7 linked regions of the Cricetulus griseus genome follow. The protein of the gene in region 5 interacts with the protein of the main gene of each other region in a pairwise test. Links are inferred from orthologs where the notes say so. Each region holds a gene or a part of one and is shown on either strand. Other genes may lie near its edges. The genes, in order: Map3k3, phospholipid scramblase 2-like, Ca9, Trim36, Glrx3, Grn and Mapkbp1.

Region 1 (3,500 bases), on a different chromosome or scaffold from region 5:
TTTTTGGGGGGGGTGTCTTTTGTTTTGAAGGGTCTTGTTTTATATATATAGCTTATGCTAGTTTGGAGATCAGTCTCTCTGTTCCTATCTCCTGAGTCCTGAGATTATAGGAGTGCACTGTCTTGCTAAGCTAGTTATTGTTAATCTCTTATTAAACATAATTTAAACATTAAATTTTTGTCATAGATATACATGCTTTGGGTTTGCTATTATTCAGGATTTTAGGCATTCACTTGTGATCTTGCCCAAAAGAGAGAAAGAGGAAGATATGATATTATCAAGAGAAGTGACATTATGAATAATAGATGAGAACATTAACATTTTTATCATGTGTATGCACACACATGTACATGAGCATGCCGTGGCATGTTTGAAGATTAAGGACAATGTGCAGGAGTCAGTTCTCTCCTTCTATCACATGGATCTTGGGGGATGAACTCAAGTTGTCAGGCTTAATGACAAGCACCCTTACCCGCTGAGCTATCTCAAAGTCCTAAGAGCATTTTGTTTGTTTGTTTGTTTGGTTTTTTTGAGACAGATTTTTCTCTGTGTAGCTTTGGAGCCTTTTCTGGAACTCCCTCTGTAGACCAGGCTGGCCTCAAACTCACTGAGAGCCATCTGCCTCTGCTTCTCGAGTGCTGGGACTAAAAGGCGTGAGCCACCACTGCCTGGCTATAAGAGCATTTTTTAAAAAGCTGGCTGACTTCCAGTTTGTGTCACAGAGTTAGTTCTGATCCATGATTTGTGTTGAGGTTCTGTACTATTCCATCTCTGAAAGTAACTTTGTAAGGAAGGGAGGTCGTTTGCTTCCTGGAGCTGAAGATGCTGGGCTCTGGTGCCATGACCATCTGAATTACATCCCTGATCCCTTGGGCCCAGTCTTCTATCTGGCCCTGTTCCTCTTGTGCCTCATGTTGTCTCTGTGGTTAAATCTTCTTTTTGTGCTCTAGGCTCCCAGAACCCTGGCAGAAGCTCTCCTCCACCTGGTTACGTACCCGAACGACAACAGCACATTGCCCGGCAGGGATCCTATACAAGCATCAACAGTGAAGGCGAGTTCATCCCAGAGACCAGCGAGCAGTGTGTGAGTATGGGGGGCCGGGGTGTACCATGATATGTTCAGACCAAGATTGCTCTCAGTGACACATTACAGACCCAGGGAATTTGATGCACATGCCATAGTTCTTTGAAAACCAATCCTACCCCAAGATGGGTTATTCCTTTGAAAGGCCAAAGGTCAGTTCTTTTCAAAGATGCTATCTAAATTTCTTAACTTCACTAGTGTTAGTTGAGCACTTAACAATATCCCTTTTTAGGTCCTCTCACTAGGCCCCTTGTAAAACACCGCTGTACTGTATGTACTATTTGCAGACTTATTACAATGGCCTATTCTCATTCAGCAATTTTAACTATGAACTGACAGATTGTGGTTTTCATTGGCTACATTTTAATTTTGCTATTTCTTGATGAAACGGCTGGGGGGGTTGTAAATTATACTGTGGGACTGGTAAAATAACATGATTTTGCTAATAGCTGTGTTAATTGTCTTTTTTGTTTGTTTATTTGTTATGTTTTGTTTTGTTTTTTGAGACAGGGTTTCCCTGTGTAGCTTTGAAGCCTGTCCTAGAACTAGCTGTTGTAGACCAGGCTGGTCTCGAACTCACAGAGATCCACTTGCCTCTGTTTCCCAAGTACAGTGATTAAAGGCGTGTGCCACCACCACCCCACTAGTTGTCTATTGTTACATAATAAATTGTCACCAATTTGGTCTTAAAACAGTACACCTTTATTGTTTTAGTGTCTTTAGATGGGGAATTCAGACATGCCTTAACTGGTTTGTTTTTTTTTTTCCCTCATGGTCTCACAGGGCTACAGTCAAGGTACTCTCCAACTGCATTTTCTTCCTGAGCTTAGAGTTCTTAGCACAATTTAGTTCCTTATGTTTGGTAGGACTATGACCCTTTTTTTTTTTTTTTTTTTTTTTTTTGCTAGAGGTTGTTCAAGGATTCTATCAGATTCTAGAAGCTGCCTGCAGTTCCTTATTATCAATTTCTCATAGCATGGCCTTCTTCAAGGCCAGTCCAAGACTCAGTTGTTCCAGTCTACAAAATTGGAGTTGTTGTCATTGTCTTCTTCTTCTTCTTCTTCTTCTTCTTCTTCTTCTTCTTCTTCTTCTTCTTCTTCTTCTTCTTTTTTTTTTTTTTTTTTTTTCCGGGATAGGGTTTCTCTGTGTAGCCCTGACTGGCCTGAAACTAGCTTTGTAGATCAGGCTGGCCTTGAACTCAGAGATCCTCCTGCCTCTGGGTTTAAAGCATGCGCCACCACCACCCAGGCAAAGTTGGAGTCTTCTATAATATAATGTAATCATGGGGATGGGCATTCCTATCCTTTCTGCTATAGCCTGTTGGCTAGAACCAAGTCCCAGTTCTACTTGCATTCAAGGGAAGGGTTGAAGGGTTGGTTGTCCACCACAGTGGCGCACCCATTTTGATAGCCAGCTTTTTAACCAGTAACTTACTTAATAAAATTTACACTGGGTTGGGGGGGGGGGGCTGGAGAGATGGCTCAGAGGTTAAGAGAACTGGCTGCTCTTTTCTAGAGGTCCTGAGTTCAGTACCCAGCAACCACATGGTGGCTCACAACCATCTGTAATGAGATCTGGTGCCCTCTTCTGGCCTGCAGACATACATGCAGACAGAACACTGTAGACATAATAAATAATTTTGTAAAATGTCTGTAAAAATACAGGAAAAAATTACATTTTGGGTTAGTCAACTGAGTAAGTCCTCTCTGTTTTATTCTGCTTTTTTTTTTTCAGTGAGCTTGTCTTTATTGCAAAGAATTAAGTTCTTCAAAATTTCTGGAATTTGACTTAAGAAGGGAATATTTCTAACTTATAAAATAGCCAACAGAGGGGGCTAGAAAGATGGCTCAGGGAATTGAGTTTAATTACTAGCACCTGTGTCAGCAGCTCACAACTGCCTGTAATTCCAGCTGTAGCAGATCTCACACTATCTTCTGACTGACTTCCATGGGTATTGGCATCTATCCCCACACATACATATACATGAACACATAAACAAAAACAAAAAAAAAAATCTTTAAAAAGGAGGTGGTCTGGAAAGAAGGCATAGTAGTTAAAAGTGCTAACTGCTTTTGTAGAAGAGCCAAGTTTGGTTCCCATCACCTATACTGGGTGGCTCTCTGCCTAAAATCCTAGCTCCAGGGGATCTGGTGTCTCTTCTGGACTCAGTGGTCTCCTGAACTCGTATGTGCACATGCACACACACACATAATTTAACATCAGAATATGTGGGGTTTTACAGAATGTTCTTTAACGTTCACTATTCAAACTATGAGCTGTAGGAAGCCATTTACACTCTTCCTCCTCCTATGCTCCCACTCCCAGGGGATTTCATATTTAGAGCAGTAACATGCACTGCCTTCAGCTGCAGATTTCTTTCCTGGTAAGAAAATACTGACCATCTGTATTGACCATG
Region 2 (3,500 bases), on a different chromosome or scaffold from region 5:
CAACATTTCACACTCCCCATTGTATTTTGTATAGCATCACATTTTTATATATTAATGGCAAATATTTATTTAAAGATGGACTTATTTTTACCTGTATGAATGTGCAGCCTAAATGCATGTAAGTGTACCCCTTGCATCCAGTACTTTCGGAGGGCATATGTGGGAGACAGACTCAGTGAAACTGGAGCTGAAGATGGTTGTAAGTGGCCATGTGGGTGCTGGGAATCAAACCTGGGTCCTCTGCCAGACCAGGAATACCTCTTAATTCTTGGGCCATTTCCCAAGCACTAGTTTGTTTATTTAAACTTTTGTTCATCTCAAAAGTAAGAATTTTTAAGTCAAATAAAGTTGATTTGTAATGGAATTCCCATAAAATTACAAAAAAGTGTTCTTTCCAGAAAATGAGATTGATTGATAATTTATTTATCCATTCAAATAATTTTCTTATAGGAAGCTATCCCTTGTAAGTGATAATTTTCCTTCATATTTTATTTTCCATGATTAAATTATGTATATTCCAGAGTATTTTTAAGATTACAATTAGCACTGAAATTTCTCTTATATTTAAATAATCCACTAAGTCCAATTAGTGCTGCCCATTTGTACACAGGTGTGCAGGTATAGAGTAGAGCATGGGAAAACTGCCAGTGCTCACACCCACAAAGAAGAATGAGCTTCCTTCCCCAGAAGCTAACAAGTGTCCAGAGCTCCTCAGTTAGGAAGCCCCCCTTAGCTGCTGTGCATTCCTGAGTTCAGCAGTCACACCTCATCCAATAGATTGCATTCCATGGCACCTTTCCTTATTCTTCTACTTCTACATTCTTTCTGCCTCCTTCTCTATAATTTCCCCAAGTCTTGGTGTGTGTGTGTGTGTGTGTGTGTGTGTGTGTGTGTGTGTGTGTGAGAATTCATAACAATGTCCTCTTACGGCTGAGCATTCAAAATGACTGAAAATTTCTAAGTCTGTTGCTTGAACACACACAGGACATGTTAGTGCTATGTGTGCCAGACAGACTAGAGATGGCTTAGATATCACAGGGCCCTCTGGATGTGTTCATGAATTTGGTGTACCTCACAGCCCTCTTTTTACCTCACCAGCTTTTCATATTGAGCTATTATTAAACTGCATTTTTGCTAAAATTCATTATCATTGAACTATAGTTCGGCAAAAGCCAGACTTTCTTCCCTCACTGGAGGCAATTATAATATTGGGTTTTCTAAAGAATAAAAGTGGAGTTACAGTTTATAAAACTACATATATGAAAAAAATTACTCTTTCCCAGCAGTGGTGGAGCACACCTTTAATCCTAGTACTTGGGAGGCAGTGTCAGGTGGATCTTGTGTGCAAGGCCAGCCTGATCTACAAGGTGAGTTCCAGGACAGCCAGGGCTACACAAAGAAACCCCCGTATCAAAAAAACAAAGAGAAAAATTTTAAACTTGCTCTTTTTTAGGTATCCTTTAAAGACAATAACTAATTTTTTTTAGACTCTCTTTTTTCAAATACCAAGGCTGTGGGTCAGCCTTGGGGTAAAAAGCTTTTATACTCATTACCAAAGTTCACAGTTAAAAAGTAAGTCACAATGACTGTTCCGTGGTTTTAGAGCCTCCACAAAGCAGTTAGCATTTTTTGACGCTGGTTTCCCTCTTTGAAAAACCAGTGATAATCTTGTGCACATGTCACAGATTTTCTAAGGATTGTACTTGAAACAATGACTAGAATAATGTATAGTAAATACTGCCTATTAGGGGTTATAGGCCAGACTCACAGGAAAACACAATTGTCTCACACCTTGGTAATTTGCACAACAACTGAACTTCATCTAGTGGAACCAGTTACTATGAGTAACCAGAAGACATGAGGACAATGCTATACTTCGGTGAATTATTCATTTGTTGTCCAAGTAAACTAGAAGTAGAAACACAGTTTTGTCTTTTGTGAGTTCTGAGTATGTGGATTTACCTGACTTAAGTATTCTAGCCCAGGTGGGCAGCTCTGAAGAGGTGGTGGTGCTGGCATCCATTGGGTATTAACAAGGATGATAGCCTGGTTATTTTGAACAGGAAGCTGTGTTGCATTATAACCTTCACAGCCAGCTGTTGAGACTGTGTAGCCAGCCTGAGGTCCTGGGTTACCAGAGTGGGGACCTTGGTAGTCAGTCTGGAATGTAGGGCATCCAGTATGTTCTGGAATTCCTGAAATAGGAGCAAGGAAATTGATTTGCAACTTCATAGAGAAAAGTATAATCATTTCATGTTGAATTATCTTGAGGCCTCTCCACTCTGGTCTATGATGTTTAAGACTTTTCAATGCAGTACCTGTGGTTTATACCTGCTTCTAATTATAGGTATACACAACCAAGTTTATTGTTATACCAGTTAGTCATAATCAGCCAAGATGTGGCATCAGCCTAGATACCTACCAACATATGATGAAGAAAACTACACACACACACACACACACACAGAGAGAGACAGAGACAGAGACAGAGACACAGAGAGACACGGAGAGAGGAATATAGATAGAGATAATATGGATCTTGATATGGATATGATAATGGATATAGATAATAGTTTATTCAGCCATAAAGAAGCATGAATTCATTTGTAGGAAGAAATATGAAAGTAGACATCACCATATAATGAGACATAAGCCAGATGCACAGGTGTTTCTCTCTTTCACAGGAGCATACTGATTTTCTCTGTGTTGTATAAGTGCCTCTCGCTAATCTATATCCAGATTGTGTCACTGGAGCACCTTCTATCTGATTATTGGGTTTCAGACAATCTTTTTTATCTGAACTCTGAAATGCACTTCAATATGTGATCTATTTTTATAGCCACCCATGTGCACACACACACACACACACACACACACACACACACACACACACACACACACACACAGTTCAGAACAACAAAGCAAAGTTTACAACAATATTAACAATTAAATTAGCAGACAAAGTAACACATTATATTGTGACACTGACATACTTGAATATCATGTTCTTTGTTCACAATTCATCTTCCATTAGCCTCTTGTGTACCTGTCTATATTGTCCCACTGGGTTCTGACTAATCCCTCAAATAACTGAGTATGCTTTTGATGTTATATGGTCATGGTTTTATAACTATATTCCACACACAAAAATAATAATAAAAGTAGGTATATCTGTCTTTGGGAATCTGGCTTGTATCTCTCTCTCTCTCTCTCTCTCTCTCTCTCTCTCTCTGTGTGTGTGTGTGTGTGTGTGTGTGTGTTTTGTTGTTGTGTTGATTTTTGATACTTGTTTTTTTGAGATAGTTTTACTATACTGCCATGGTTGGAGGTCTTTAACTTGCTATGTAGGCCAAACTGGTGCCAAATTCACAGAGATCCACCTGTCTCTGCCTCCCAATTGCTGGAATTAAATGTGTGCACCACCACACCCAGACTGGTTTGTATCTCTTAATATGCTGTGTCTAGTTTCATCTATCTTCTACAAATGACTCTTTTCACTC
Region 3 (4,163 bases), on a different chromosome or scaffold from region 5:
TGCATGCTTGGGAACAGTAGCAATATCAGGAAGATTAGAGGAGACTCAGTAAATGTGCATTAAATGGACAGACTGGGGGCCTAATATAAAAACTGGATTCTGTCACCCTCTTCAAAATATTTCTTTTTACCTCTCTTTATTTGTTATGTGTGTGTTTGCACACGTTCATGTGCCATGGCACACATGGGAGACAGAGGGTTCTCTCTTTCCACCATGTCAATTCTGGGGACCCAACTCAGATCATCAGATTTGGTGGCAAGTGCCTTTACCCACTGAGCCATCTGGACAGCCTCTGTTCAAAATATTCCATGCCTCTCTTTTGCCCAGAGTACGATTCTCCTTACTGTGATAGCCACCTACCTCCCCATGGAGCTCCTACCTCTTCTTCAAAGGTGGGGTCAGATTTTGCCTACTTCCATACTTTCTTGCAGCAGAATTACGATAATATTTGTCCTCACTGGAGTGAGAGCTCCTCAGATATGGATTTCCGTATCCCTAGTCCACAGCCTAGCGTGCTGTAGGTACTGATACAGAATGCAAATATGAGTGGCATTCTTGGCACCGAGACTTAGATTTAAAAAGGCAGTAAAAAGTTTGGAGAAAAAGAAATGAGTATTTTAGGGCTGGGAGTGAAGCTCAATGGATGAGTACTTGTCTGGATTTAGTCTCCATCACTAAAAAACAAGGACAAAGGGCAGGAGAGCAAAAAAGTGCACACAAATGAGTAATCTGACTGGAACATTAGGGGGAAAGCAAGAGACAAGACTTAATGGTGTCTTGGGTGAGGTTTTGCAGACCTGGAAGTGGGAAAAAGAAAATGGTCATACTTTGGCAGGCAATGGGGGAGCCATCAGAGTCTTTCTCATATATATGTATATATTCAAACATTCATGCTCAAAATTGCCTCCTACTTAACCGTGAGACCCTTCCTACCCCTACCCAGCCCTAGGCTCCCCCAGTGTCTTTACCTGCCCCTTTAACGGAGACCTCACTGAGGCAGGATTTATACACGAGTTTCTTGTCTCCTCAGCCCAACTGCATGGGGGCCCCAGCTGCCTTCTTTCCTCTTCTCTGCCGAGGCTGGGAAGCAGGCCAGGCCTAGCAGAGACTGGCGGGCAGAAGCCGGGTGGTGCCACGGAGAACCTATACAGTGCCAGGTGGTGCCTTGGGCTCCAAGCTGAGCTGGTGATCCCGATAACCTTCTGCCTGTGACCACACCTGCCTCTTACCCCAACCCTGCCTCTTACCCGACCTGTGTCCAGGCTTTGGTATCGGGCAGGGGGCACGGGGCCAGGCAAACCTGTGGGACTTTGGCTCCATCTCTACAAAAGGGCATTCTGTGAGTCAGCCTGCTCCCCTCAAGGCTTGCTCCTCCCCCCACCCAGCTCCTATTTCCGATGCACGTACAGCCCGTACACCACACCGTGTCCTGGGACACCCCAGTCAGTCGCATGGCTTCCCTGGGCCCCGGCCCCCGGCCCTCTTTGTTGATCCCAGCCCCTACTGCGCCGCTGTTCTTTCTGCTGCTCCTGGTATCTGCTCATCCCCAGGGCCTGTCCGGAATGCAGGGGGAGCCCTCCTTGGGAGAGAGTTCATCTGGAGAGGATGATCTGGGCGTGGAGGATCTGCCCAGTAAAGAAGATGCACCTGGGGAGGCGGGTCAGTCTGGTAGGGAGGATCCACCTGAAGTTAACGCCAAAGCCAAAAAGGAGGATCCCCCGAAGTTAGAGGATCTACCCACTGTTGAGGCTCCCGAGGACAGTCAAAGTCCCCACGGGGACGGAAAAGGTAAGTAAGCGTCATCAGCTTCCAAAGTGAGGTTCAGGTAGTTTTCCACCTCCCTCACCACACCCCAACCCTAGCAGAGATGCAGGAGGGAAACTGTACTCTAACAGGTAGCCCTTCTCCCTACAGGGGAGAGTAGTTGGGAGAGATAAAAGAAGAAAGGGAGAAGTTGAAGAAGACATAGAATCGAGGAATGGATAGAGAGGCAGAAAAGTGTAGAGAGAGAAAGAGTGTGATAAGAGAAGGGGGTCTCAGAGGACGTATAGAGAGCAGACTGATGTCACAATTTGCAGTGCAGAAGCAATCGGCAGGCGGAGGAACTTTGGCTCGCTTTTGGGGCAGGAGGGGAGTAAGGGGTGAGGTGGGATATTGGGGGCAGGAGGGGAGTAAGGGGTGAGGTGGGGTATTATTACTTATCGGATCAGTTGGCCTTGAACTATTTCCTGCTGTCTACCTGTCTCTGAGCTCTGGGATTTCAGGTGTGTACCAGCACACTTGGCTCTGGGTTAGGAACTTGGAAAAGCTAGAGACTGGGAAGAGAGACCAGTGGGTGAGTAAAGGAAAAAGAAGGTTGATCTACTGATTTGGATCTCACACTGAAGCCACTCCACAGACCCTAGCATTTGCAAACTGTCTTCCCCCAGCAGGTTTGCTGACCACTCCCCCAGTGGCCGAGTCACAGTTGGTAGTAGGCCACCGTGCTTTGCACCTAGCCTGGACGCTCTTGTAAGACAACCCGGTCTGTGAGGCCCCGTCAGGGCTGGAGGGAATCTTTTTCTTTGTAGGCACTGGGAAGTGACTGGGCTGTAAGAGCGGGCTTATTAATTCTTCTCATTTATGCAGGGGGTGACCACAGTCCTTGGAGCTATAGAGGTAAGACACCGCCTCCCACACAGACCTACTCTGGGAGTCCAGGCTTTTGAACTGCCCCACCACCTCCTCCAATACTAGCTCTCATCTGGACCCACGTCTCTGCCCCTCCCCTTACTCCTGCCTCCACGCTTCCTGACTCCTCCCCTTCACTTACCCTAACGGTTCTTGTCCTACTCATCAGACTTCTTGCACCTTTTTCTCACATGCCAGGAACCCTACTCTGGCCCGAGGTGTCCCCAGCTTGTGCCGGCCGATTTCAGTCCCCTGTAGATATCCGCCCGGAGCTCACCTCATTCTGCCGCGCCCTGCAACCCCTGGAACTACTGGGCTATGAGCTTCAGCCTCTCCCGGAACTGAGCCTGAGCAACAATGGCCATACGGGTGAGGTGTCTGGGGCGGAGCCTACGGAGGGGAGCGGCAATTAAACTGTGCTTGGGGGTTGTGCTGGTGCTCCTGGGTGGCTAGACATCACTCCCTTGCCACTCCCCACACAGTACAGTTGACTCTGCCACCGGGGCTGAAGATGGCTCTGGGACCTGGGCAGGAGTACCGGGCCCTGCAGTTGCATTTACACTGGGGAACTTCAGATCACCCGGGCTCAGAGCACACTGTCAATGGCCACCGGTTCCCTGCTGAGGTGGGCATTAGGCTGTCCCAAGAGGAACAAAGAGGGTGTGATCAAAGCTCTGGCCTGAACCTGACCCTTACACCCTCTCTTAGATCCATGTGGTTCACCTCAGTACTGCTTTCTCAGAACTTCATGAAGCCTTGGGTCGCCCAGGAGGCTTGGCCGTTTTGGCTGCCTTTCTGCAGGTACCACACTTGACACTCATATCCCATGGGTTCAGTGCATCTTGCTAGCAGAGACCCCGTTGTTCCAGCACTCTCAAGCTGGTCAATTAGCTGTCAGTTCCATTCATGCTTTTGCTCATTCATTCAGCAGCAGCATGGAAACGGGAAGCAGACTACAAGACGGCTTCCTTTAAGGAACCCACAAACAGAGACTGACAGTCAGAAATGAAGAACACTAAAAATAATGGTCACAGAGGAGGTGAAACTTAAATCCTTCACTGGTGGGAAACAAGGAGGAATGTTGCACAGGGAGAGAAAGAATATGGACCATTCAGGGAATGCCACATGCAACAATGGGCCTGAGGAAGAGTCATTTCTCGGCTACTTCTGTGACCCATCATTTCCCCACCATGAAATGCAGTGTTTATTCAGTGACCTCTTTGTACCCCTAATGATCAAGAGTGCACACACCATGGTAGGAGGAAGCCAGGAAGTGAGGAGATGAGATGCCTGTAAGACTCACTAGTGAAGTTCATGGCACCAAGTGCCTCATCATGTAGATGCAGGTTACACTCCAAGAGTCCAACTCATGAATTATTAAAGTGAACACAGAGGTAACACAAGCACAGAACATTGTGGATTTCTTCAGGAGACCCGAGAGTATACCAGGAAATAATGGGGGAAACTGTGAAAGTTAGCAGGGCCCAGATCAC
Region 4 (3,500 bases), on a different chromosome or scaffold from region 5:
TGCACATTCTCTTTGCTTCCTGTGTCATAAAGTGCTAGATATATGGGAAAGGAATGACAATCACTAAATGCAAGTTCTCCAGACCTATCCACATGGGGGTGGGGGAGTCAGTGGTGGGTCTGATGCAGTGTGATTAGCCTAGCAGACTTCCATTAAGAACGATAAAAAAAAAAAGTAAGATAAAGAGCTTCCAAAATTTTGGTTACTCCACTAAAATGTTAGCATTCCATAAGCGTAAGTCTTAGTGTCTGGACATTTTACCTTTTTAAAAAGGCTGTTCAAATAAAAATCATCGATTTAAAAGATGATTTTGGTGCCTAGAAGATAATTTTGCAGGAACTAACATCCAATTTAGAAAAGGTGTAATTCTTCAAACTAACTGTACACAATCCTTTTGATTTTAGTTACTATTTCTAAATAATTTTGTGTTTTACTGATTCGCTCTAAAAATGTTTATGATTACATTGAGCCACAGACAATTCGACCCAACTGGACAATAGTAACATGTAATATGTCTGGTCTTTTAATGCCATTAAGACAGACAATGAACTTCTCAAATTTGTAAACGTAAGCCAGAAAAACCTGATGTGTAACATCTGTGCCAAAACCACAAAACTCACAAGACAGTTGTTCACTATCAGTTCATCTTCACTAATATTTCTGAAAAATAATTCTTTGCTATAAATGCAAGTATTTTCTGAAGTAAGAAAATTTGAAGATAAAATTTTCTGGAAAAATTATATTGCAGTGAAAAGTTGCACAGGTTCAAGAACCTGTGTTTCCTATGACAGACCATGCTTGCTACATATGCCAATAAGGAGCCTTACAGCCCAGGCAACTCTTAGAGCTGTCCGTAACAATAAATAAAGTCTGTGGTCTACAAAAAAAAGCAGTATTCATTTGCCACGCAATATACACTCAGTAGTTACACACTTTAAAATACATAATTTTCTACTTAAATATACTACCATTTTATGGCCTTTGTCATTTTACCTATCTGTAACTTTATTTTCCTATTAACAACAAGTTCAAGATGCATGGTTTAGGACTAATTCCTATCAATAGTCATTTAAAATATCTTCTCTTTGGACATGAAAAAAATCAGCACAAAGAACCACAATAAATACTTTGTATTCCACCCTGTCCCCCAAAAATGAAAGGAATGTAAATAATAGCAACATCAGCTGACTTAAATAAATTAGAGTCCTTGTATCCAAAGAGAAGGACCAGCTGTAAAGTTGGCTACCTGGGACTAGTTGTGACAAAAATGCCTTCACTCTCACCATTTGTGAAAGGCAGAACAATGACATGAAATGGACAAGTCTGTGAAGGCCTTTTGAGTGTTAAAGACTCATACACTAGCTGCGTATGGTGGTGCCCACCTATAATCCCAGTACTCTGGAGCCTATAACAGAAGGACAGAGTTTGAGGCCACCCTGGGCTTCATAGCAAGACCCTGTGTGTCAAAGCCAAACAAGATAAAGAATCGAACACTACAAACAGGTGTGGTGACAGAAGACATAAATGATATGTAATTAGTTACGAAGACTAACACCAAGGCATGGCTGTGTTCACGGTTTTCATCCTTCACGGTTTTCATCCTCGCCACATGTGGTATACAAGCTACACATCCTCTTCATATTCCAGATACTTGGCTGTGATGGGTTCTTCAAGCTGAATTCCTCCACTGCCCATTAAGGCAAATGCTGGATACATTGTATGCGAACAGTCCACCTGGCGCTCATACAGGCATTTCATGTTATCAGTATCATAGAAGCTCACTTTGCCTTTATCACAGTCAAGGAAAATCCCTATACTAGTTGGCATGGGAAGAACTCTATTTTCGGGTTCATTAGAAGAAGTAGGTGACTTGGGTATAAAAAATTTCTTCATGCCTATAGTAACTAATGTAAAAGGTTGTGAAGAATCGAAACAGGCATCTTCGCTTCCACTGTCATGCCCACTGTCTTGCTCATATCTACAACACAATAAACACAGGACCTTACTTATCTCCAGCCACAGCCTCCCAGTATCATCAACACATTCTCCAAAAATAACATATTGTTCTAAAGTTAGCATACCCAAAATTGATCTATTAACACACATAAAAAAGCACGGACTTCAAAGTGCCATTTAGAGTTGTAATTATGTGCTTGGTACCAAATCCCCTATAGTGCCATCCATTGTTACATAAATTTATATATATAAATAGAACTTAAAATGCATTTCTACTGAAAAAAAGCAGGGGAGGGTAAAGGGCTTAATTTGAGATTTAATATTTATGGTACACAGTGGTATGTCATAAAATATAAAGACCTATGCCCTCACCCATGGGGTTAATAGATTAAAGGAAATAACTAGCCACTTAACATGAGATAAGAGCATGGCTCATTCTTCTCCTGAGAATCCTATTTCCTGACTGTGATTCCCACATCAAGAAAGAATAATGACATTGTTTTTCCTTCTGTGAAATGTGAAAAGTTAGGGAAAATTCTAGTGCCATGAAAGAGGCAGTTAAAGGCATTTCACTGTATGGGTAGATTTAACACGCCCTTTAGGAACTATGGAAAACTTTCCAACTTTAAGCTCTGAAGCTGAATCATAATGAAGAGGAATTCAAAACAGACAAACTCTCTCATAGCAGCAAAAATTAATTATTATTCTGTGAATAAATACAATACACCCAGAGTCCTTTTCTAAAGCAGCCACATGGCAGAGCCAATCACTGAATCTAAGGAATGTGTGTTCCAAATATAATGAATGAGTCCCAGTCTGTTTTCAGGGTGATCTTGTGTGACACTGATACTTTATTAATTTATTTTTTACATTCCAATCCCAGTTCCCCCTCCCTCCTTTCCTCCTGCTCCCCCCATCACCTCCTCACCCCCACCTCCCATCTGCTCCTTGGAGAGGGTAAGGCCTCCCCTAGGAAGTTTACTAAGTCTGTCCCATCATCTCATTGAGGTAGGACCAAACCTCCCCCAACCCCTGCCAGACTAAGCAAGGTATCTCTCCATATACAATGGGCGTCACTAGGTCAGTTTGTACATTAGCGTTAGATCTTGGACTCAATTTACTTTTAAAGTTGTTAACAAGCAAAGAACCTACCTTGGACTAGCCGTGTCCCGGGGAGACCGCAGCCACTCTTGCAGTTTGTCGCTGGAGGCAACCCCTACTTTGACCAGGTATGAATATGGCTCCACACGGCATGCCCAGAAGTGTTTCCCTTTCGATATTCCCACATCTCCGATGATGTAGTCTAAGCTTGTGTAGTAGCCCACTTGGATGCGTTCCGCAGCCAGGAGAACATTAAACCCAGCTCTGCTCTCCACCCGGTCTCTCTTCAGGTTCAGCAGGAGGTGCTCGTTATTATAGCCACACTTCTCATCAAACAGGAAACTGAAAACTGAGTGGAGGGTAAAGATACTCTTAAGTAACCTGAGTACCATCTACCAGGATTTCTATCATTTAAGGCTGAGTTGATGGTTTTCAAATAGAAA
Region 5 (3,500 bases):
AACATGCAGTATTTGCTTTAAACAGAATTTTAAACACTCCAACAACTAAAAGAGTCCTGTCACTTGGCAGAGGTGACCTGTAGCCACTATGGCATAGGGGCCAAGAGACTCTTGCCTCAGTCTCCTAGTCCTCTTCCTCATTGTACCTGAGATAGGTTAAGGGAAAAGGAAAATGGCCAGAGAAACAATTACAATAACAAAAACTGAAGGAGCATAAGAATTTGGGGGCAGAGAAATGTTTCTGGCAGGAAGAATGTACACATTTACAAGGAAGATGAACCCTGAAGGATGGAGGAAATATGGATGCTACAAGAAAATCTAAAAGTTAGAGGAATCAGGTAAAGATGGTTGGTAGGCAAGAAAACAGAGAAGAAAGCTGTACTGCAGTTAGCACAGCAGGGTCCTGAGTTCATCTGAACATTTTGCTACACAGTTTAGCTCTCACTGGCAGCTGGCAGCATTGAATGGATTTGAGGACAACTCAGAGCAGGAGTAAGCAAGAGACACTAAGACATATTCACAGAGGATGCTGAATGTGAGGCTGGAGAAAACAGGAGCCAGACAACACTAAAGTTGGATGCTTAAACATGTCAAATTTCTCAGTTCTTTAGAAGAGCAACGAAAAGCCCTTACCTTAACAATATCCAATCCTCCTACAAGCTCCCCTCTCACATACAGCTGAGGGTAGGTTGGCCAGTTCGAGAACGTTTTTAATCCCTGCCGCACCTAAAAAAAAAAAAAAAAAAAATCAGGAACCCTGAGGTCTTTCCACCAGACCCTGTTACTAAAGCTAAACATGGGATGAAACAAAAATCCCAGAACTTACTTCTTCATCCTCCAGTATGTCAAAAGTTTCATAGTCAACCCTGAAAGGGAGAAATCTTTTTAACAAAAAAACATAAAACCCAACTAGTGTTTTTAATATGGTCAAGAAAAGCATTCCCTGCTAACAAAACTTACTAGAGAAAGCCTACTATAAAGCAATGGGAATGACTTTATCATTGGGCTTGTCATTCTAAGACAAAATTACTAGCCTTTGATGGACAAAACTAGCTACAGCAGGAGCTGCCAAAACTCTCTTATGTACTTAATGGGGACAATGAAAGGCCAAGGTATTTGTGTGGACACCAGGGGACAACCTGTAGGAGTCAGTTCTCTCCCTCTACTATTTGGGTCCCAGGGATCATGTTCAGGTCATCAGTCTTGGGGACAAGTGCCTTTTACCCTCTAAGCCATCTTGCTTGCCAATAAATACTATACTTGTCAATAAATACTATGCAAATAGGCTTTGACATTAAAGCTGTAAAGTATCAGTGGCAAAACTGACAAGCTACAATTTTTTTTATATATAACACTTGAAAACAAGATTTACATACCCGGTATTATTCAGTATTTCCAGAATTTGTTTGCTGAATCCACATTTTGCTTCCTAAATTACATTTAAAAAAAGAAGTACATTGTTCATTTTTTTTTTCACAGACCCAGTAAGTGTGGCTGCAGCAAATGCTCAAGTTGGCACCCCAGCCACTGTGTTTACCCAGCTCCCATGCTTCCGTTCCCTTCCCTATGAAGTACTCATCCAGGCTGCCATCATCCCAAACAACCTACAGACCTCCTAAAATGAGGGGACATGTAGCAGCTTAAAACCTTTATGGTCACAAGTTTCCCTAAGTGAAACCCAGATCATCTACTCACCTGACTCTCCTTGCTTTATGCAAAGGGATAGGACATAGAGAAGTCAGTGGCAATAACTAAAGTAACTGTTTCCACATTGCCACAGACCTTTATCACATCTTTTAAACTTATCTTTGCATTGTGGCATCAGCTCATTTGAAGTGATTGAAATCCTATGCTTTATTTCAGGTCAGAGATTCCCCAAGCCCCAGCTATCTTGGGAAAGAAGTCTGATAATACATAACGTCTCAAAACCTCTCAGGACACCATTTCCAAGAAATGCAAATTCTACCAGGACAGCCACAAGAAATGTGAAGAATCAAAGTCTGCTTTCAAAATAATGGAGCAAAAGAGTGCTGCCTCATCATTACTACAGTCACAGAGTCTATGTCCTAACACAGCGGTACCAAGTTGCTAAAATTATATTGTCTTCCTTAGTACTTCTACCACACTAGTTACATTAACTAGTTAATTGTTTTAACTAATGGGTCTCATTCTGTTGATACCACAGCAACCCTTACAGCAACCTGAAGTTAAAACAGTCTAATGGCATCATTAGGTCAGTTCACAAAAAGACAAAGGAAGACAAAGACCTCGTGGCATCACCTGCCCAAAGCGGCTTGTCCAGAACCTGGGCAGCTTCCTTACTCTACCACCTCACTCTTCTGAACTTTAGTCTCCTTATCCTGAGAAAAGCAAACTGCATAGCTTTGCTTTCGTGAAGCTGAACAGCCAAAACTCAACTGTTAAAACTGTAAAATGCAAGAGAAATGACAGGGCTAGCTTTTCAAAATTACCAGCCTAATCCCAATCCAGAAAAGAATCAGCTTTTCGCCCAATAATGAGTGCAAGGGGACCTATCAAACTAATGAAAATTCAGTATGTACTTTCATCAAAGTACAAGAACCAGTCATCGTACTACAAATGAGAATCATGGTAGTTTTACTCACTCATCAACCAGGTACCACAGAGCAATAGGGCTACTGTCAGGGTTTATTTCCCACTCCAAGGACCTAAGACCAAGAATCTCAGAACCACCAGCGAAGTACATTTGCCCACGGTCCACTCTCTCAAACAAAGGATACTGGGACAGCAATTGAGAGAATCCGCTAAGTGCTCGCTCATAGTGTTGACCACTTCAGCTGACAAAGTTTGGCAGCAGAAAGCAATGCACCCTGCTGAGACACTGATGATAAAGTCAGTCGAAATGGAGATTACTTTGTTTGATCTCCATAAGCACCAATTAAGGCCAGGATAACTTCCTGGTACCACTACAGCTTCATTAGCTAAACTAGAAAAAAAGACTTAACTGTCCCCTTGCTGCAGATGTTAACATCAAAAGAAATTACAAATAAAACCATTTTTGAGTTCCTTACCTGTTTGTTTCCTTTCATAAAGAGCATCACAGAAGCTTTATTGGTCAGCACTTTGAGCCTGAAGAGAGAAAATTGATATAAAATGGCTCAGCTCAATTATTAAACACCACTTCTGCTCTGCTTCATGAGTAGCAGGCATATTTGAGGGATAGCAGGATGACAGCTCACAGCTTTGAGTGGTATTAAACAAGCAAAAGCACTGACACTTTCCTTTATTTCATTCTCTCCCTGAGCCACTGTAAAACATAATATGCCTTTTTAAGGCAAAGAATGTTCCTTCCAGTTGCAATTTAAGCCCATCAACTTGTAGTACTAAAAATATAATAATAACCAATTCAGTAAGGTATTATTCAATTGGGGGGGGGGAGCTATACATTGAGCCATCTAGAAGTTCCCAAGATGTATCAGTGAGCATTTTCCCATCATGATGTGCACTATGCTCCTCACCCC
Region 6 (4,105 bases), on a different chromosome or scaffold from region 5:
TTAGACGATCGCTCATTACCATAGGCAATGTGTCCTGGAAAGAAGCAATGACATATACCAGAGGATCTGTGCCAGACCTCTTCTGGCCAATCCAAGGTAACCCTTCAAAAGGCCAGGATGCCAGCTGGGGCGTGAGACACTCACCAGAATAGGGTTGCAGCAGCTGTAGCTGGCTCCTCCGGGGTCCAGGCAGCAGACAATAGGGCACGACTGACCATCTGGACACTGTGTTCCAGCCACCAGGCCTGCCATGAAGGCCAGCCAGCTTACCAGGGTCCACATGGTCTGCCTGCAAATGCCAAGGAAAGTTTGGCAGCCATCTTAAGCTTATGCCACCTTCTATTCTGAGTCCATGCAGTTCCCCATGCCCTGGCCAAGGCATGACATGCCTTGGATTTATTGAAACTTCTCAACAAGTGAGCAGGAAGGCAAGCAGCTGCCTGAGTCAGCATCCTACACTGTAAGCATCACACTTGCACCAGCTTGCACACACGGTGAGCACGAATGCTGGCATGAACACAAGTGTCCATCATGTCATCACACTTGGCCTAACACCTGACACTATAGGCGACTGGAGAGGCGCGGAGTTATGACAGTCAGGAAGCCATGTGGCTTTGATTTATGGGACTGTGGGCTAACTGGGAGGAGACTTCAGCGGCCACAAGAGGACAGCCAGCCTCACCTCGCTGCCTGGCACTGAACTCCCACATGTACTTTTCAAAGGCCTTGGGGAAACAGAGTTGTCAATCACATGATCATATGGGAAACCAGGGGTTGAGAAAGTTGTGAAAACGGAAGTGCAGTGGCCAGGGGAGTCTGGGCTGCCTTTCCCACAGGCCAGCCACTGCCTGCCCACAACTGTCCCCTCCCCACCCAGGGGAAGGGCACATGGTGGCTGGATTAGCCTTGAAGCTAATTTCATAACCAGCCCTCCTCAGCATCACCAGGACTCCTTTGGACTCCTCAAACATACCACCTGTTTCTCCCTACTCAGAAATCGAAACTCAGCTGCAAGAGCAAAGTTAAGTGTACTTCTTCACTGGCCCTCTGCCTTAGCAGGAGGAACCGAGTCTCTCACTTCCCTAATAAGTCTTTCCCCAGCACAGCTGGCCTACCCAGCAACCCAGAGTGACACTCCCCTGCCTGGGGCAGCAAAAACAGCAATATTCAAAGACCCTCCAGGGAGCCACTTTGCCCTTCCTTACTGTATTTCTCTGCACAACTATGCAAAGCAGTGATCAGATTACTTTCACTTTTCAAATCCATGCCCAGGTATCAAGTCAGAGAAAACAGACTGCAGATATTGGACCTGGATTCTTATGTCAACTGACATCCCTGAACATTGCCAGGGAATGGACCCCAAATCCCAGAGGCCAGAGGTCCAAGCAGAGGGAAGCGGGCAGAACATTTCCCAGGCAGGTGACCTACACAGGATAGAAATAGGGTGGGTACAGCCAGACGGTGGTGGCACACGCCTTTAATCCTAGCATCCAGAAGCAGAGGCAGGTGGATCTCTGTGAGTTCAAGGCCAGTCTGGTCTACATAGCAAGTTCCAGGACAGCCAGGGACAAAAAGATCCTGCTCAAAAACAAAAGCAAAACAAAAAAATCTACAAAAGAAAGGGTGGGTACAGGGACGGTGTAAAATCTGCCACTGATCAATTGCTGAGGGCCTCAGAAATTGTTTCCTGTGCCTCAAACTCTGAATACTGGTGGCCATGGAAGGCAAAATCCCAACATCCAGACCTCAAAGCTTCCGATAGGCATGACAAACATGCTTTTGATCCCTGCACTTGGGAGGCTAAGGTGGGAGGATTACAAATTCCAGGCTACAGGGTGACTATGAGGTCAGCCTGGGCTACATAGAGGATCTGTCCCTCATTGTGCCCCCTCCCCTTCCTTCTCTAGGTTTTCAAGCACCCTCTCAAAGAATATCCCAGAGGTCATCTCCTGGCCAGATTAGAATGGGGTAGGGGAGACCTAATCCCTTTCATTAGGGTTAGGGAGTGGTGACCTCTGGCCACCTCTACACCACTCTGTTGAAATAGCCTGAGAGGACTGGAGGAGCCTTTCAAGGCCCTAGCTTCGAGATCTTCCACTAGGTGGCACCCCCGACTCCGGAGTGTCAAGGGGAGATGAATTTCCCAAAAGGTGAGCCAATCCAGCAGAGGAGCAGGGAAAAGTGGCGGGGAGAGGCGGAAGTTAGCTCTCTCGCCCCCCATAAAGGAAGTACGGCTGACACAACCCAGGGATTCTGCCACCACGCCCAACTCCTGCTCCCAACTCCTCTGAGCTCTGGGACCAAGGGCGGGAGATCCCCACCCACTGCAAGTCGCCGCGAAGACTACTGGCGGCACCAGAATGAGAAAGTGCCGGGACCTGGAGACAAGAGGTGGGAGGCACCGAGAGAGATGAAGCTGGCCCAAGAGTGGGGCGCTTCCTGCTCTGGAGAAAGCCCTGCAGCTTTCCGACATGCTGGGCAGGGGAGCCTCTTGTTGGGGGTGTCTACAGCAACTGTTCCCACTCCTCCCAAATGACAAACCCTCGTTAGTGCATCTGAAACCCCGAGGGGAGTTTCAAGAGGCAGGACTTCTCTCGTCTCTGAGCTGAGGCTCCGGGGCAGCCTCAGTTGCACAGCAAGCCTGGCCAGGCCTCTGGACAGCAGCCAGGGAGATGTCTGCTGCGGGTCCTCCTACCTGCTTCGGGGTCCGCACTCCCTGGGAGGCATCTGGCTGTCAGCTCTCGGACTAGGGCTTGGCTGCCCGATGGCCCGCCCACCTCAGTTTCCATTAGCCCTGGGTCGGGAATCCGGGGCTTCCATTGGCTACTTGTCTACATAGAGGCGGGACTCTCCAGGAATGCTGTGTTTCTTTTCTACTCAATCCACACTCCTCCTCCCTTTCCTCTCTCTCCCCACACCCCATGTCTAGGAATCATGTGACCAGGCAATCATATGACACCATAGCCCGCCTCCCCCAGGGCCTCGCTTGCTTGTTCGGTTGCTTTCCTCCCACCCCCCAGGGCCCTGGCGGCGCCTGGCGAGGTGTTCTAGAGATGGGGCTTGCGTACCTAAGGCCACCGACAGTTAAGAAGGCGCCTGCGGGGCGCGCGTTCAAGGTCGTTTACAGCATAGCGTCGGCTTCTGGATCGGGACATTTGTACATTCACTGTTTTCACGCTAGGCAGCCAGGACTCCAAACAAGCTGAAAGATAGTTGGGAGGGTAAAGATAAACAGTCCCCAGATTTGGGTGGGATACTAAATCTAATAAATGTTCAAGGGCGAGTACCAGGCAGGAGATTGGCTGAAGGTAGGGGAAGAATAGATGTAAATCCACTTTGAGCTAGCCAGGAGATGGTATCACGCTGAACTGAATCTAGAGGAATTTTAAGGGGCTGGTTAGGCGGGACAGAGGCACTCCGGAAGAGGTTAGGAAAGCAGATGGGGAGTACAGTGTCTAGCAAGAGTTAAAAGCCACATTCAAAGTAAGGGCATTGGGCATGAGCTAAGTATGTGGCATGGGCTGGTGAAGCAGGCTGGTGGCTGTGGAGGTGCAAGAGGCCTCCTAGTTTCAGCTACCCCTACCTTCGAGGAATTGTCATGGTCCATGAATAGAGATTTTTAGCAGTAGAACAGATTAGCCAGAAACAAAAGCCAGGCTGCTGAGTGCCAAAGGGCCTGGGCCAGACAGAAATGGCTGATTGGAGACCTGCCAGGAAGAGGACAGGCCCCAGGAAAGCCCAAGGCTGGGCCTTGTAGGAAAGGCAGAGTTGGTGTGGAAGATAGGTCCCCTGGGAGGAGCAAAGAGCTTGACTGGTAGGCCACTCAGGGGAATGGGGACAGCCCTACGAATAAATCCAGGACAGTAAGAGTCTTGCATAGAGAGGAGCCTGGTGGGCTTCTTGGGCTAGAGCTACAGGAATCCCAGAAAGTGGAGGCCAACGTGGAGTATCTAGGGTAATTCTGCAATTCTGTAATTGCTTAACACAGCCCCAGTATCCTTGCAGCTCTCTGAGTCAGGGTCTCCTGTGTTCCAGATCAGCCTCCAACTTGATATGTATCTGAGTATGACCCAGAACTTCTTGTTTCCCTGCCCCTGCTGCCTCC
Region 7 (2,774 bases), on a different chromosome or scaffold from region 5:
GGACAGTCGAATGACTGCTTCTCTCCTCAGAACCCACCGGCATCCGAGATATTTGAAGCTGAGTCTTCTGTACCGAAAATGCAGCAATGCAGAGCGCAGGGAGTCGGCACCCCCCGGGCCTTGAACACAACCACAACTGCACCCCACGTGTGACCAAGAGCAGCGCACTCGTCCGCTAGCTAGAGAAGGGTGACTGACACACGAAAATGTGAGGCCGCCAATAGGCCACTCGTGAACACACGTCCTGAGCTCCGGTACCCCAGGCTCTCTCCACGCCGTCTTGGCGCTGACGCCACTCACCGCGAGCCGCCGCCGGGAACTCTTGCAACACCTTCCGCACCGTACCCAGCGCCGCCTCCGCCATGACGCTCGCGGGAATAGAACCCGCCCCTATTTCCGCTCTAGGCTTCCAGCCCCGCCCCATTTCCGCCCTCGCCGCGCCGCGCCCCGCCCCTCAGGAGGTGCGACCAGCGGCGCCTTCTTCAGAGATTGCTAGCCAGTTAACAAATCATTGTGTTTATTGACAATTTCATACATCGGTACAAACGAGACGTTAAAACAGCCCCACCCCGTACAGCCGGGGAGGAGACAGGCGCCACAGTATAAAAGTTATAAATAAGGGGCTTTTTAAAACCGGGATGGGACAAATCTGGACGTGGGCAGCAGTGGCCAGTGGCCTCCGACATGCAAAGGGAACCAAGCACCACTGGCCTCAAGACCCCATCCGTGCAGGCTAGAGCGCAGGGAAAGACCGGCTCCCTCAAGAAGAGCAGGCTGGCTAAGGTCAGGGCAGCCCTAGCAGTAAGCAGATATCTAATCCTGACTGCCAAAGGGTCCGCCCCAGCCGCTGCTATTCTTTGGACTAGGAGTTTGGTCAGGCCGGTAGTAAAAAATGGGAATACATGGTTTGGATGTACTTGGGGCACTCAGGCCGAACCACCAAGGCTAAGCACCCATTAAAGCTGTTTCTTTCTAGCCTCTGCCTCCAGAACTTGGAAGGTGCTTCAGCAGGTTTTGTTGTCTAAATCCTGTGAAATGTCATTCTGCGTTACCTAATGCAGAGGGGGGAGGGCCCGGAGACACACACTCACTCCAATTCTGCAACCACCTCACTACTTGTTCCTACCTACAGCCTGCCTATAGCTTCTCTTTACCCTCTAACAATTACCTTAATTCTGTCCCCCTACCTCTGCCATCTACCTGTCCACCTATCACTTTTCCAGCGTGTCTCTTGCCCACAGCCTCCACTCCACAATCTCCAGTACCCAGTGTCTCTGAGCACCCAGTTCTGCCTTTGAAAAAGAGCCTCCTCTGTGAGCCAGGTATCCTATAGCCATCTCCTGTCAACCTGGCTTCGGACACCAAGATTCCAGAATTTTAGTGTGCTCCTTCTCATGTTTCTGGATAAGAGTTCTAACTAAGCCAGGCTAGTGAAGCTGAGGCCAAATGTGATAGAACCAGGTACCTACCAGCCAGGCAAGTATTCTAACAATGAACACTCCAACTGTGTATACGTGTGTGTCTGTGTGTGGCCAAAGTCCTAGGAAGGTGGGCTAGTGCCCTGTAAACCATGAGGGAACTCCCAATACAGTTTTCTGATTGCGCATTGCCCAGGATATAGGGAGAAAGCGGTCCCTGGGGCTTCAGTAGTCCTCTAGGGACCAGGGTTAGAGAATGAGGAAGCCCAAAGGGCTGAGAAAAGTAGGCAGGCTTTGTGTTTGCTCAGCAGAGGGCTTCACTGTCCTGCAGCAAAATCCCACAACTGGCTCCACAAGGAAAAAAAAAAAGGGATTCGGTAGAAAATACTGGGGCTCTCTTGCAGGGAGAATTGGAGTGGAATGTGCGGCTCAGGCCCTGACACCAACTCAAGTCTTCTAAGGGCTGGGATCCCCTGGAGGGCCAGGCAGCTCTACCTTTCTCAACTGCCAGGAATAGGGTAAAACCACTCCTGCTTTGGCAGCCAGGAGAGTGCAGCTGGTGTGAGGGCAGAGGTAAGGGTCTACAGCTGGCTTGAGGGCACTAAGTGCCTCATCTCCTCTCACCGCTCCCCCAGAGTGCCCTGTGTACGCTCCACCCCAGGGAGTACCCTGTGTATGCTCCACCCCAGGGAGCTGATCCCTGAAGTAAATTCAAATGGCTTCTAAGAAGAGAAGGCCAGCCCTTCCCAGTGCCCCCAGATGAGGCAGGCTGCCCTCCTACCCCTCACAGCACCAAGAAGACATAGACTCAAGACCTGCCCTGCTATGAGCCACTGGAGGGGCTTTTGAGGCAGGAGTCCCAAGGAAGTGAGGCAACAGTCATGGAAATAAATTAATAAATACAGGGGCCCCTGAGCAGCAGCTGGGAAAGCTGCTTTGCCTCTGAGCACTGACCCCTGCTGTCCACTCCAGACATTCTCACAGGTTCTGATGAGTGGAAGAAGGGTTACAGGTTCAGTGGGGAGCATTCATTTTGGACAGGCTTCTGGAAATCAAAGTCTGCGCTCCATACGCCGCTCCACAGCTCGAAGTAATAGCTCTGAGTACTGCTCCAACAGGGCTTGAGTTTGCTCAGCCCCCACAGCCCCGGGGCTGCCGCCCGGGCTAGACAGCACAGCTCCAGTCAGGGCCTCTAGTTCCTGCCGCACTGAAGAGAAGGTGTCCCTCAGGAGACGGGTGATGTGGCTGTGCTCTGCTGAAGGTGTCTTACAGCTGGTCACCTGCAACAAGAACACTGCAAGTGAGGTGAGGTTCAGTAGAGAATGATACAGAAAAGGGGGCCCCACCTGGGCCTAG

Evidence for each region.
Region 1: the proteins of Glrx3 (region 5) and Map3k3 interact in a two-hybrid assay, tested with the Homo sapiens proteins (2 studies listed by BioGRID and IntAct). The link is inferred for Cricetulus griseus from reciprocal best matches to the Homo sapiens genes GLRX3 and MAP3K3.
Region 2: the proteins of Glrx3 (region 5) and phospholipid scramblase 2-like interact in binary tests that used the Homo sapiens proteins (3 or more experiments, as listed by UniProt). The two-hybrid records come from large-scale screens. The link is inferred for Cricetulus griseus from reciprocal best matches to the Homo sapiens genes GLRX3 and PLSCR1.
Region 3: the proteins of Glrx3 (region 5) and Ca9 interact in binary tests that used the Homo sapiens proteins (3 or more experiments, as listed by UniProt). The two-hybrid records come from large-scale screens. The link is inferred for Cricetulus griseus from reciprocal best matches to the Homo sapiens genes GLRX3 and CA9.
Region 4: the proteins of Glrx3 (region 5) and Trim36 interact in binary tests that used the Homo sapiens proteins (3 or more experiments, as listed by UniProt). The two-hybrid records come from large-scale screens. The link is inferred for Cricetulus griseus from reciprocal best matches to the Homo sapiens genes GLRX3 and TRIM36.
Region 6: the proteins of Glrx3 (region 5) and Grn interact in binary tests that used the Homo sapiens proteins (3 or more experiments, as listed by UniProt). The link is inferred for Cricetulus griseus from reciprocal best matches to the Homo sapiens genes GLRX3 and GRN.
Region 7: the proteins of Glrx3 (region 5) and Mapkbp1 interact in binary tests that used the Homo sapiens proteins (3 or more experiments, as listed by UniProt). The two-hybrid records come from large-scale screens. The link is inferred for Cricetulus griseus from reciprocal best matches to the Homo sapiens genes GLRX3 and MAPKBP1.

The regions. Positions count from the first base shown.
Region 1 is NC_048600.1:119,080,079-119,083,578, forward strand, and holds part of Map3k3 (mitogen-activated protein kinase kinase kinase 3), read left to right. Parts: intron 1-950; coding exon 951-1,084; intron 1,085-3,500. UniProt on the Homo sapiens protein: Component of a protein kinase signal transduction cascade. Mediates activation of the NF-kappa-B, AP1 and DDIT3 transcriptional regulators.
Region 2 is NC_048597.1:201,287,349-201,290,848, reverse strand, and holds part of phospholipid scramblase 2-like, read right to left. Parts: intron 2,196-3,500; coding exon 1,963-2,195; intron 1-1,962. UniProt on the Homo sapiens protein: Catalyzes calcium-induced ATP-independent rapid bidirectional and non-specific movement of phospholipids (lipid scrambling or lipid flip-flop) between the inner and outer leaflet of the plasma membrane resulting in collapse of the phospholipid asymmetry which leads to phosphatidylserine externalization on the cell surface.
Region 3 is NC_048595.1:100,007,358-100,011,520, reverse strand, and holds the start of Ca9 (carbonic anhydrase 9), read left to right. Parts: upstream 1-1,363; 5' UTR 1,364-1,397; coding exon 1,398-1,788; exon of another isoform or gene 1,789-2,315; intron 2,316-2,628; coding exon 2,629-2,658; intron 2,659-2,812; exon of another isoform or gene 2,813-2,868; coding exon 2,869-3,039; intron 3,040-3,152; coding exon 3,153-3,295; intron 3,296-3,378; coding exon 3,379-3,471; intron 3,472-4,163. UniProt on the Homo sapiens protein: Catalyzes the interconversion between carbon dioxide and water and the dissociated ions of carbonic acid (i.e. bicarbonate and hydrogen ions).
Region 4 is NC_048595.1:191,869,325-191,872,824, reverse strand, and holds part of Trim36 (E3 ubiquitin-protein ligase TRIM36), read right to left. Parts: intron 3,407-3,500; coding exon 3,109-3,406; intron 1,979-3,108; coding exon 1,624-1,978; 3' UTR 1-1,623. UniProt on the Homo sapiens protein: E3 ubiquitin-protein ligase which mediates ubiquitination and subsequent proteasomal degradation of target proteins. Involved in chromosome segregation and cell cycle regulation. May play a role in the acrosome reaction and fertilization.
Region 5 is NC_048596.1:63,470,510-63,474,009, forward strand, and holds part of Glrx3 (glutaredoxin-3), read right to left. Parts: intron 3,109-3,500; coding exon 3,051-3,108; intron 1,430-3,050; coding exon 1,377-1,429; intron 867-1,376; coding exon 827-866; intron 727-826; coding exon 634-726; intron 1-633. UniProt on the Homo sapiens protein: Together with BOLA2, acts as a cytosolic iron-sulfur (Fe-S) cluster assembly factor that facilitates [2Fe-2S] cluster insertion into a subset of cytosolic proteins.
Region 6 is NC_048600.1:115,672,851-115,676,955, forward strand, and holds the start of Grn (progranulin), read right to left. Parts: upstream 2,801-4,105; 5' UTR 2,728-2,800; coding exon 2,696-2,727; intron 290-2,695; coding exon 145-289; intron 35-144; coding exon 1-34. UniProt on the Homo sapiens protein: Secreted protein that acts as a key regulator of lysosomal function and as a growth factor involved in inflammation, wound healing and cell proliferation. Regulates protein trafficking to lysosomes, and also the activity of lysosomal enzymes.
Region 7 is NC_048599.1:58,467,727-58,470,500, forward strand, and holds the end of Mapkbp1 (mitogen-activated protein kinase-binding protein 1), read right to left. Parts: intron 2,699-2,774; coding exon 2,471-2,698; 3' UTR 501-2,470; downstream 1-500. Other genes in the region: bifunctional peptidase and (3S)-lysyl hydroxylase JMJD7, read right to left, coding at 301-364. UniProt on the Homo sapiens protein: Negative regulator of NOD2 function. It down-regulates NOD2-induced processes such as activation of NF-kappa-B signaling, IL8 secretion and antibacterial response. Involved in JNK signaling pathway.